3 linked regions of the Daphnia pulex genome follow. The protein of the gene in region 2 purifies or fractionates together with the protein of the main gene of each other region. This does not show direct contact. Links are inferred from orthologs where the notes say so. Each region holds a gene or a part of one and is shown on either strand. Other genes may lie near its edges.

Evidence for each region.
Region 1: the proteins of partitioning defective 6 homolog gamma-like (region 2) and partitioning defective 3 homolog purify together in Drosophila melanogaster (affinity purification with western blotting; 7 studies listed by BioGRID). This does not show direct contact. The link is inferred for Daphnia pulex from reciprocal best matches to the Drosophila melanogaster genes par-6 and baz.
Region 3: the proteins of partitioning defective 6 homolog gamma-like (region 2) and lethal(2) giant larvae protein homolog 1-like purify together in Drosophila melanogaster (affinity purification with western blotting; 5 studies listed by BioGRID, with this or other methods). This does not show direct contact. The link is inferred for Daphnia pulex from reciprocal best matches to the Drosophila melanogaster genes par-6 and l(2)gl.

What each region holds. Positions count from the first base shown.
Region 1 is NC_060025.1:9,143,960-9,147,612, forward strand, and holds part of partitioning defective 3 homolog, read left to right. Parts: coding exon 1-62; intron 63-304; coding exon 305-619; intron 620-764; coding exon 765-1,240; intron 1,241-1,865; coding exon 1,866-2,113; intron 2,114-2,199; coding exon 2,200-2,382; intron 2,383-2,545; coding exon 2,546-2,632; intron 2,633-2,867; coding exon 2,868-3,035; intron 3,036-3,119; coding exon 3,120-3,220; intron 3,221-3,300; coding exon 3,301-3,422; 3' UTR 3,423-3,653.
Region 2 is NC_060019.1:10,154,358-10,158,244, forward strand, and holds partitioning defective 6 homolog gamma-like, read right to left. Parts: upstream 2,411-3,887; 5' UTR 2,138-2,410; intron 1,967-2,137; 5' UTR 1,931-1,966; coding exon 1,859-1,930; intron 1,798-1,858; coding exon 1,674-1,797; intron 1,607-1,673; coding exon 1,380-1,606; intron 1,174-1,379; coding exon 1,010-1,173; intron 941-1,009; coding exon 559-940; 3' UTR 531-558; downstream 1-530. Other genes in the region: protein DEK-like, read left to right, coding at 1-7, 64-81; Bloom syndrome protein homolog, read left to right, coding at 2,855-2,904, 2,962-3,077, 3,139-3,318, 3,389-3,615, 3,675-3,767, 3,838-3,887.
Region 3 is NC_060023.1:5,198,129-5,202,195, reverse strand, and holds the end of lethal(2) giant larvae protein homolog 1-like, read right to left. Parts: coding exon 4,038-4,067; exon of another isoform or gene 3,881-4,037; intron 3,799-3,880; exon of another isoform or gene 3,757-3,798; coding exon 3,604-3,756; intron 3,537-3,603; coding exon 3,318-3,536; intron 3,256-3,317; coding exon 2,826-3,255; intron 2,714-2,825; coding exon 2,511-2,713; intron 2,443-2,510; coding exon 2,216-2,442; intron 2,148-2,215; coding exon 1,761-2,147; intron 1,681-1,760; coding exon 1,565-1,680; intron 1,432-1,564; coding exon 1,283-1,431; intron 1,141-1,282; coding exon 1,093-1,140; 3' UTR 529-1,092; downstream 1-528. UniProt on the Drosophila melanogaster protein: Essential for the development of polarized epithelia, for cell polarity associated with asymmetric cell division of neuroblasts during development, and for oocyte polarity formation.

The DNA.
Region 1 (3,653 bases), on a different chromosome or scaffold from region 2:
CGCTCCGTCACCTGTCCTATCCCTTCAACAAGGCCAAAGACGGCCGCCGCTGCTACCTCCATGTACGTAACGCAATTGCCGCTTGCTCGTGTGTGTGTGCACCTCTCTTTGTTTTATTATGCTTGCTCGGTTTTTTATTTTTATTTATCGCATCGCGCTGGGTGTAACGCTTTTTATTCCGTTTCTTTTTTGGTTGCCGGTTTGATCCGGTTTTTATTTTTATTTTATTTTTTTTCAATTTTGCCATTTTTTTAAATTTAAATAATGATAACCGTTGTGGATTTTTTAAATGTGCGTGAATCAGACAAGTCGCAGGAGAATAGCCGGCCGCTTTTCGTCCGTCCGGTTGACCCGCCTTCAAGAAACTCTTCAAGGGACATCGGCCCGACTTTGGGGTTGAAGAAATCGTCGAGTTTGGAGTCGCTCCAGACGGTCGTCCAGGAGATCCAGATGCAGGAGGAGGAGCCTCAAATCGGTTGCTACGGCTATCACCGGCCGACGGCCATCCGGGTGGTTCGAGGACGCGGCTGCAATGAAAGTTTCCGAGCGGCTGTCGATCGCAGCTACGACGAGTCGGGCCAGCCAACTGACGGCACCAACAAAGAGCCCATGGAGACACGTAAGCAACCCGGAAGCGTTTTACCAGACTAATGTTTTAATGTCCATTGAAAATTTCGTGAAACTTTCGGGATTTATTCCGGACTAGTAGACTGGAACATTCTTTTTTTTTTAATTTCTCTATTTATTTTCTCTTTGCGATTTAGTGGACGAAGCGTTGGAAGTTGAGGTGAATGAAATGATGCCACCGCCACGCTCTCCATCGGACATCGGAATTCCCATGTTGAACAACAAGAACGAGACGCGCAAGAGCAAAAAGAAGAACGCCAACGCGGCCGGACTCCTTTTGAAAGGCCTGGGCTCCATGTTCCGCTTCGGCAAGCACCGCAAATCCGCACCAGCCAGTCCAGAATCCGGTCATCAGTCATCCGGATCGGATCCGACAGTTTCGGGTCATCATTCCATGGCCGGCGGCCACATGATTATGCCTTCGTCCGGAAACCAATCTCACCATCACCACCAGAGCGAGCGGAGATCTTCTTCCGGTCATTCCGGAAGCATCGGCAGGTCGTCTGCCGTGAGCGAAGTGGACCGCCATCACGTCCTCAGACGAACTCTTCCGCCCGATGAACGTGACCGTGCAGAGCTCGGACGCCAAATGGCCATCGCCGTCGCTCGCCAGGTAAATTGCAAAAAACTCAAATTCGTGCGGATGATTGAGGACAAAGAAGAAGTTTGGGTTGACGTCATCTCGCCTTATGTGACGTCTAAAAGGAGAGGGGGGAAAACAACAAGTGATTCACCGGAAACATTTCACCGACGCTCGATTGTTTCGTCGAATAATGATGTTCGATTAAAAGCGAGTCTCGACTTTTTACGCATTTAATTCATGGGACTCCCACGCGTTCACAGGGAGCCAAAGTTCGTGTACACAGGATTTGCGGCTTTTTATTTATTTTCTATTTTTTTCTACGCGAGAGAGAGGAGGGTTGGAATAATTGAATGACGGGATATTGTGGTTTTTTCAAGTGCACACAAGCGACATTGTGAAAGACACACGATTTCACTTTGGGAAAATCAGTTTTCTTTTTTCTAGCTATAGAGCATAGGCTTGTAATCGAAGAATTTTTGTGAGTTGTAAACCATTTCGATCGTAATGTTTATTTTCCCGTTGCGGAAGAAATTAGTGGCCCCGTTTCTAGTCCATTTGCTGTTGCCATCTAACGGTTGTTTGTTCTGGCTTTAGAATTTCTGGTTTTTATTCTTTTATTTGATTGTTCGATTCTTTTCTCTTATTCTTTTTACAGGCCGCCCAAGATGAACAGAAGAGAATACAACATCATTATTTACGGTTGATGGATCAGCAACAACGCCAGGCCGCCGCCGCTCACGATCACCAGCAGAAGCAACAACAGCAGCAGCAACAACAGCAACAAGGGAATTCAGCAACAACTGGTGACCGCTCGCAGAGGCTGCATCAGCTGCGCGCCCAGCACCAAAAACGGCACGCCGAACAACAAAGACAGTCGACTCACACGCCGACGGAACAGTTCGAGTATGAAAAATATTCAAATTGCAGACGATGGAAATGACATTTTAACGTTTTTTCTTTTTCTTTTTCCCTTGACTTGTTTTGGTTAGGTCAAATAATAAGAATGTGCCGGAAATCATACACGGACGCTCGGCCAGTTACGACCCTTACAACGACGTGAGGAAACCCCGTAGCCGGGCAGCTGTCGGCGAACCCAATACTCTTATGCCCATTCCGGCCGTGCCTTCCTCCACGTCCAACTACAACAACAATTACGACGAATTTCAACTCAAGTAAATATCTTTATTTTCAATTTCACAGAACTTCTTTGAATTTAAGATCGTTTGCAATGAACGTGTTATTGTTGTTCGTGTCTCCACTAATATTTAACTCGACCAACATGTAACTAACGGTTTTGTGATTTGATTGGGGGTTTTCTATTTTGGCTACGAAAAGAAATGGCAATTTGAACCCGGTTCAGATTCGTGAAATGCAGGAATTGGTCCGTCATCAAAGACTCAAAGTTGAACAGGGACAAGTCATGTAAGAAATCAACAACATTTCCAAACAAACAAAAGTAGCGCGAGTTGATTATTTTCTTCGGTTGGTTTGAATTCGCCGCATCCGTCGCCTGCATTTTTATTTTTCGTTTATGATTTTGCATGGTCCCCAGTTTTATTTGGTTTTATTAGTTTTTATTTCGGTAGACATTTTGTTTTTTAAATTAAATGTTGATTGGAATTTGTATTAATTCATTTTCATTTGTTTGTTTTTGCAGTCGGCGTCAGCAGCACTATCACTCGCAGCGATCGGCTCGCGAGACGCGGATGAGCCCACCGGGTGGAAATGGTTGGTCGGGTGCCGATCGGCCCGTCTCCAACTATTTCGAGTATGAAAGTCTTCACATTGCTGGTCACAAGGTCGCATTGAGCGGACCACCTTACAAGTAATATTGCACACACACGTTTCCGATTTTTCCCTTTGTGCAATAAACTAACGAAATGTCTGTGTTTTTTAATGACTTTCTCAGACCTCAGCAACAACAACAATCGGGAAATCGTCGCCCACCCACCGTGCAGGGCGATGATACAACATTTTTCCGGCGCCCTGATAGAAACAGCACTGGTCATGGTACGTCTACTTCTGTTATTTCGGAATTTCATCATCTTCTTTGATACACTTGAATATGAATGGATTATTTTAACTTGCAGAATACGGAAGCAATCAAGGACGGGCATCTCAACGGGAATCGGTTTATGGTGCATCCACCTACGGAAGCGGCAGCCAAAATAACCCCAGCAGACCGGCTCCTTTGACAGGATCTAAAGTCTGAGCAGCAACGACGGCAGCAGTTAACATTCAGCTAATTATATAGGGACAATAGGTATCTGTGTTAATATCAAACTCAAAAAAAAATGAAACTATCAAGTACTTTGAAAACGAATGCATGTGCAGTCCATTGGTCAGATTTTCTTTGAAATATTTTCAAAGGAAAAAAGTCCATTTTCATTTTCATTTTTTTGCTCGATCAAAAAAACTGTTGAATTGTAAATAACTTAAGAAA
Region 2 (3,887 bases):
TAAGGAGGTAATAATGTCATTGTTGTGCAATAGTTCCGTTTTAAATTTTTAAATGGTTTGCAGATTCTTGGCAGTGAATAAGGGCGCTTCAAAAATACTTCATTTATAAAGAAACAAGCTGTCATTTTATACGAGTATATTTTCGAAGTGAGTAAAGAATAATTTCTTAATGTTTTTAGTTTGTTCTCTCCACTTTCTTGAAGCACGGTGGTGCATATTGATAATACAATTTGAACTGGAGACAAGTTTTTTTTAACGTTGTATTTGTGCCGATGAATCGTGTAGATCGAGACTCATCGATTAGTCATTTTACTAATTACCATTGAAAGGCCGGTAAGTGTTGAAAAGGCACACATGTTTTTTTTTTCTTAACTATAAACCTAGGGGGAGGGGTGGACGGGATATAAACGCACGCATTGACCGATGTGGTTTGCGAACATTCAGGCAAAAAGAAGACAAATTGTTTTTTTTTATACACTTTCATTTTTTAAAAATAAGGACTCAAAAGGGAACGTTTTCATTTTCATATATGGATATTTGTGAACTTAAATCATAATGTTATAAGTGAAGGATGCCATCATCTTTCGCGTGGCTGGTCCTATCGCTGCCGCTGCTAGCACTGGTCTGCATAGTAAGATCCTTTATCTCATCTAAGTCGTCGGTTTCGTCTTCTTCATGGTCCTCGTCAGAATGAGAGTGAACCATTGACGCGATGGTCGAATACGACGTCATCGTGTCATTGTGTGAGGTTCTTGACAGCGTCAAAACACCTCGTTGATTGGCCGGTTTGACGGTGATGATCAAGTTTGCACTATTAGCCACCATCATGTCGGTTACTTGATCTAGTGATTTTCCGGCGACTTCAATACCGTTCACTTCCAGCACTTCGTCATTGACCGCCAAGAGACCAGTAGATTCGGCCAATCCGCCAGGAACCAATCTGTCAAAAATCACGGTCTGTCAATCACAACATAATAAAGATATATATAGATATAAAGTATAATCATACCTTGATATAAAAATTCCGGGGACTTTTTCTAGGCCATTAGGTGTGACACGTACCGAGGTACCGTCTCGAATATAAAATCCAAGAGGTCTTTCAGATCCATGTTTGAGCAGCCTAACTCGACGGCAGGAATCGGGCACTACATCTACATCAATAATAGCTGAAACCTGTTTTAACAGTGAATAATTCAGTTTAATGCCCAACCAAGCATGAAGCAAGATGCAACAACAAGAAAGGAGACTAGGAAACAACAACTGGAGACATAACGCCAACAACTAAGATTACGCAAGTTCAAGCAAGAAAACAAGGCGTTTAAGCTAATTACAAATCTACTTAATTAATGAAAATAAACAGATGGAATAATCAAACCAACTTGTCGAAATTCCTTTGGATACGATATGCTAATGTGTGGCCTAGTTTTGGGTGTTCCTAATATTGATGATATTAAATTCTTTTTAGAAGCATAGTGTTGATGTAATTCATCATCCTGTGATTCTCCTCTTCTCTGTATGTGGATTCTCAACAAAGGACGTGCTGCCTGCAAAGCTCTAGCAAAGTTGTCATCATTGTTGATGGGCAATAAATCCCCATCATTGGGGTCTGTATGATGAATGAGACAAATTACAAATCAGTCTTTGAATAAGTAGTATATGATGAAATTACAAACCTGTATAACTTATATAGAATGGTTCAATTTGTAAGCCATGTAGTTGTTCAAGCAACTTTCTGAAATCTTCATACTTTGGTAATACTTTTTTGTTTAGACTGAATCTTCTAAATTCAGCCACAAACTAGAATTAAAAGAATTTTAATATGAATAATCTTTGGTCATGACAGAAAATGAAACTTTACTTTGCTTTTCACTTCCACAAAGTTTGAGTTTGTTCTTGGTGGAGACATCTGAAGTTTCACTAGCTTTGACATCTGCGTTTGGGCCAAATTTAACAGTGAATAAGTATCCTATGTAGAAAACAAACAAAACGTTTCAATAGATTCATAGTTCTTTATGAATATCCACGCCCCAGTAAGCATCCGGTTACACCTCCAACACCGACAATTGCGTGAAATCATCGGTTGTTCACATTCTATATCCACTACAAGATGGAAAGGGATCTTGAGAATTCCGATTACCTGGATCGTCACTGATGGAATGGAGAAAAACGATTTAACTCATTTGAATGTTATAAAATGAATGAGCAATTTTCACGTTTCCTTGGTAGGCACCATACAATGAAAATTGACAGACATGACAGTTATTGAGGACGGTTACGAATTGGTGCAGCCCTCTAGAGGATAGAATGGAAAAATCTCGAATTTTACTGTTTTCATAAATTATAAGTTAAATATTTTTATTTTAAAGGTATTTTAAAATAGGAAAGTGAATGGATGAAATTCTCATTCTATAAGTGCTAAGTGGTTTTGATATTTTATTAGTTTACTAGTATATTGCAACAAGTTGGCAACATTTAAATGTATGTAAGCGGGAAATCGTCTGCTACAGCTTCTTGTTCAAGTTTTTCAGCGTGATGAAGGTTAACCTAACTTGGTAGACATTAGACAACTAGAACTAAAGATACCAAATAGACATATTTCAATAATTCGATTACAATTTCTTTTGCATAAAAGTGGGAATTATTCTTTACTCGATTACATTCGTAACCAAAATTGACCCTCAACCAGTTTAGAGTTTACAATGATAGTTCCATACACTTTTGTGAACTCCCTTCAAATTGTGTTAAACGTATGAAATCTTGAAAAGCTACGTGGAATCCTACGTGGACAGCGAAGTGAGAAAAATTCACTAGCTACATTGTACTTGTATCAGGATTTAAGAGATTTTCTAGCCAGATGGAAAAATACCTTCTTCCTCGTGCTAACAAACTCAAACTCAATTCAAGGTTAGTTAATTTCAATTGTATTTGTGAATAAAAATGTAATCATGAACTCTTAAATAGCATCAACAATACCTCTACAATTACATCTCAAAGTTTGTCAAAAACAAACAAGAAACATTCAGATGTCTGTGACATTAAATCACATGATGATTTTGATCAAGATTCCACCCCCATTGGTATCAAAGTATTTTGTCACTTGTCTATCTTTTATGTTATATTTACTACTTTATCATTTAGAGTCTAAATCCTCTTCAGCCAAGGAAGCAATTCAAGTGCCTTTCAAAAAAGAGCCCAATCGAGATAAAGGGAAAAGTTTAATAACTAAAAAAGCAGATTTTAGTATAGGAAACCTTGATGGAAAATTCTGGGGAGACTTTAATGATAAGGATGAAGATAATGATGTGGATGATTCGTGCGGTAATCCAGTATTTCATTTGCTCCAATACTAAAAAACCATAAAACTAAACTTTTTTTTATGAAACAAAAGATCATGCTTATAATAGTGTACTCAGCACTTCGCCTGTAGTTAAACCTAGAACATCAAGCAATTTAAAATCAGCCAAGGATAATATCAGCAAGAAAACATCAAATAAAGTCGAAGACATGAGCAAAGATTTGTTTGAAGACGAAGATTTCAATTTTGATGACGCTATTGATGTTAGCCATCTTGAAGATGATTATAAAGATAATTATAACAAAAATTCGGATCATGAGGTATGAATTAGCTTTCACGTCAGTTCGTGTCATTTATTTTACAGAATATTTTGAAATAGACTACTGATCTTGAACAATCGGTTGAAGTTATCGAAAGCCAACTACGAATTGTGTTGGATACAGAAGATTGGTTTGAAACTGCCAAAGAACAGGTAAACTCATTATTTCTAGTCAACGAGAAATTTGACAGCAAAATTATCGAATCTTCGTCGTTCGTTACAGGATGTCTCCAATGTTTCGGACGCATTAAGACGAGAAGTAGATACGAAAAT
Region 3 (4,067 bases), on a different chromosome or scaffold from region 2:
AGACTATCGCCGCTAGTGGCGGGACCACTTGATAGGAATTCGAGGGGGCGGAATAGAGTTTGAAGGAGGCATGTCCGTAGAGGAGCATCAAGACGACGCCATCTCCGAGAGAATCTTCCGCCATATGAGTCGCAGTGTCGCACAACCATAAGTAATGGCTCTGGTTAAAGTAAAGTGGGTTAGAAGAAATCCGTTAACGGATCAGCCTTTGGACACGGATCTTTGATAGGCCTGTATTTTTCAGATTTTTAGGTCCCATAGCGGAATGGCCCAAATGGGAAAAAACGGGGGGGGGGGGAGTCCATGAATTCGGTGCGCTTGAGTGGTGGATTTCTTGAAAAAATCGCTGCGCGACGCGGGAACGAAGCGCGGACGAAATGGTCGCGTACTCTATTACCTATTTGCGCTTGGATTAACTCTACTCGGCCCCTTTTCTTTCGCTGTCTTACTTACTACTTACTTTTTACTGTCTTTTATTTCAGAAGTATTATTGACATGGACCGGACAAAGAAATAAAATGAATCGATCTCAAAAGGTTTCCCATAGCAGGATTGTATTAGTAAACCAGATTCCATACCGAATTCTCATATACAAAAATGGCGGTTGAGAAAACTCGTAAAATTCATGAAAAGGCAAAACTGATTAAAGGCAGTCGACTCACCAGTCAAACAATTCCACAATTTGTAAATTGGAGAAGATTTTAGTTCCTTATTAGCGTTTAATTTGAGTACATAGAATAATTAGAAAATAAATTCCTTTACAGTACGGAGAAACCCTTTAAAGAAATAGCCCAGCGCGACTACAATGCTCAGTTGTAGCATTAATCTTTGCTTCATTTAGGAATATTCGAATTGATTTCAGTATGTGGAATGCTTTGAGGAAATTATTTTCTCTACCATAATATTACTAAAATAAGACAATTGTGATACTGGAATGCAGTAAAAACCGACACCATTAGTTATTGACAATAATTAGCTGCCTTTTTGCTATGAAATTAGCTTGATTAACAATTATCAGCCAACATAAAAATTTGGTGTTTCTACCAAATTAAATGATTTCTTTGAAATTTTATAAGCTGCTAATTCACCATCGTTATTTTGAAGTTTCCACATTTTCTTCAGTCGACAATTCAGTAGGGTCCTAGAACAGTAATAAAATGTGCCAATAATTAAAATACAATCAGCAATAAAACATTTCAAAATATAATAAATATTTCAAATTGATGTTAGAATCTAAAAAAAACTTAAGTTGTAGACTAGTGGTGAATATAGTAAATGTTTACCTTGGTAACAGTCACATCCAAATTTCCATGCAAATCACTCACAGTACATTCTTGCGAAACCACACGATTCTTCTCCATATCAGACTCTAAGTGCACATTAACCTTAGTCTCGTGATGAGTAATGGAATATGATTCATCTATTGAGATTACTAAAATAGATGAAATATTGATTAATAGAATTCTTTTTTGTTTATATTATCCGAGTTAAATTCGTTAGTGTTCAAAGTCAGCACTAGTTAATGTAAGGTTCAATAAAATCAAATGAGACAACTTCTTGATTACCGTTAGAGATTTTTGAAGTTTCGTGTAAACTTAAAACAGAGGATATTTCTGTTTTTACTTGTTCAATGCGAGTTTCCGATGCAACTTCTGTGATTCTACATTCGTCCAAACTAAGGCTTCAATAGTCAAAAGATTTCATGCAAATAAAAAATGTTAAGAAATGTTTTTCTTTCTATGAATATAAATGGAAACCTACACTATATGATCTTTGACAGAGTCCACCGTCATATCTCCAAAGCTGGTTTCCGGCTCAACACTTACGATTGTTGAATTGTTAATTTCATTATTGCAGATATTCTTATCGTTTTCTCGGTCTTCATTTGGATTACTCGTGTTTGAAATGACAGAAACGTCAGAGAATTCAGTTTCCATTACTACTTCTGGCTTTTCTTCTTTTGACGTACAAATCTTGATCACCGCCTGAGAGGAGGATTCCACGGGAGCCTGGGTATTTTTCATCCCATTCACTTTACATTTTAACTGGAGGGAATTACGAGCACTCAACGCAACACGTTGTAATTCACTGGAAGACAACATGTAAAATGCTTCTCCTTGATTTGTAAGGACAACAGTACTGGTAGCACTATAAATGATCCGAAATTGCTGATGAAATTTAAGAAAACATTAATTAAGAAAAAACCTTTATCTTACTGTATATCTTCCTTTCGTATAGCCTGTGCATTCATTTGTCGCCGCAGTTCCGGGAGACTTAAAATGTGAAAATCTCCTTGATTGGACAGACACACCAAACAGTTCTCTTTATAGGACGGATCCGATCGAGCAGTAAAGGGAACAACCGCAACGCGCCTAACTTTGCAACCAGTGTAAGCAGTTAATTTGTACTTTCCATACGGGCGCAGGTTTGGAAGTGTGAAAACCTAGAAGCAACAAAAATAATGCCATTCATTACATATGGCAATTAATTCCTCGCATACTCATCACCCACTTTGAACTGTTCTTCCGACGAAATCACTACGCGATGCGGAGGACAGGATTCAGAAGTCGATTTAATCCCAGAGTTTTCAAACGATTCCCCAATAGCTGCATAAGAAGCATCAATTATGTTAATCGATACAACAGGTGCTCGATGTTTCAATTGAATCTCTTTTGCAAGTTGTGCGTTCACGGGCTCCACGTGTCGTCTATTTCCTGAAATATTTAAAGCAAATAAATATTAGACAGAAGGAAATGAGTGCATAGTTAGACACAAATAAAGAAAAAAGGCCACAGCAATAATATAAAAATTAAAATGTCAACATACCCGTCTGTATGTTAAGGCTAAAAACATATATAGCTCCGCTATTTGTTCCGGCCCAAAGAGTTGCGGTAGCATTGGAAGACTGACTGATTACGTAAGTTTTGACAAGCAGTAAACAACGAACCATGCTGCCCATACCGTCATCTAACATAACATTTCTAGCTTCAATCTGCCTCTCAACAGGCCGCACTTCAGCAGCTATAGATGGCCCAGCATTGTTTATAGCGTTACTATCTTCGACCTTTGATATCGGTGAAGTTGGTGCACATTTAGGGCCAGCGGAAGGACGCTGGCTACGCCCTTTACGCAGCCGCCTGAAGGATTCTCTGAGGGATTTTTTAAAAGATTTTCGTCGTGACATTGGCTGCTCTCCAGTTCCTGACACATCATTCGGATTAAGGGTGCATTTTGCAACTACCTCCTTTTTAACGGTCTAAATTTTTTTGTAAAGATTAAAATGGATTGCGAACGATGACCATTTCATTCAATACTTACTATATCATAAAGTGTTAGTCCATGAGCTGTTCCTACAGCCAATACTGACCACTCTGCATTTAACGCTAATGCCGTGGCTGCAGCGGGAGGATGAAGCTGTAGGACAGAAGTTGGCTGGAAGCCTGGTTTAAAGGACAGTAAACCTTTCCTTACTACTAACTTATCGTGGCCTTTCCACACAAAATTATCCCGATCTGAAACTATGTTAACGAGTACAATCTACGTCAAGAAGAAAAAAATATATAGAATATTGAATTTAAAGTAAAGTTTTGCAAAATATAAGTACCGGGACTTCTTTTTCCGATTGCATTTCGAATAATTCGGCAACGACAACTTGACCAGCCGTCCCAGCAACTGTTAACAATCCAGTGACAGGGCACAGGCACAATTTCTTAACAGCCAAACGTGGGTCATCTGAGTAAGGATCGAATACTCCAATCTGAACTCGCATAATATAAAATTTCAATTAAAAAATAAGAAGGTAAGGAATAATTGACACTTCTGTTAAATACTATCACTTGGCACCACCAACTAAATACTAAAAAATGTCTATCATAATGAAGGACTCTATACAAGAAAAACAGATAAAAATGGAAAAGGATATAATCCAGTCTTGGGCAAAGCAAAATGTATAAAAAATAATAAACTCCATTGGAACAACATGACTTAACTTAAAAATACAAAATGGAAGAACTTTAAGACGTAGTCCAATAACATTACCTTACGAAACGGCGGCCATTCATCCTCATC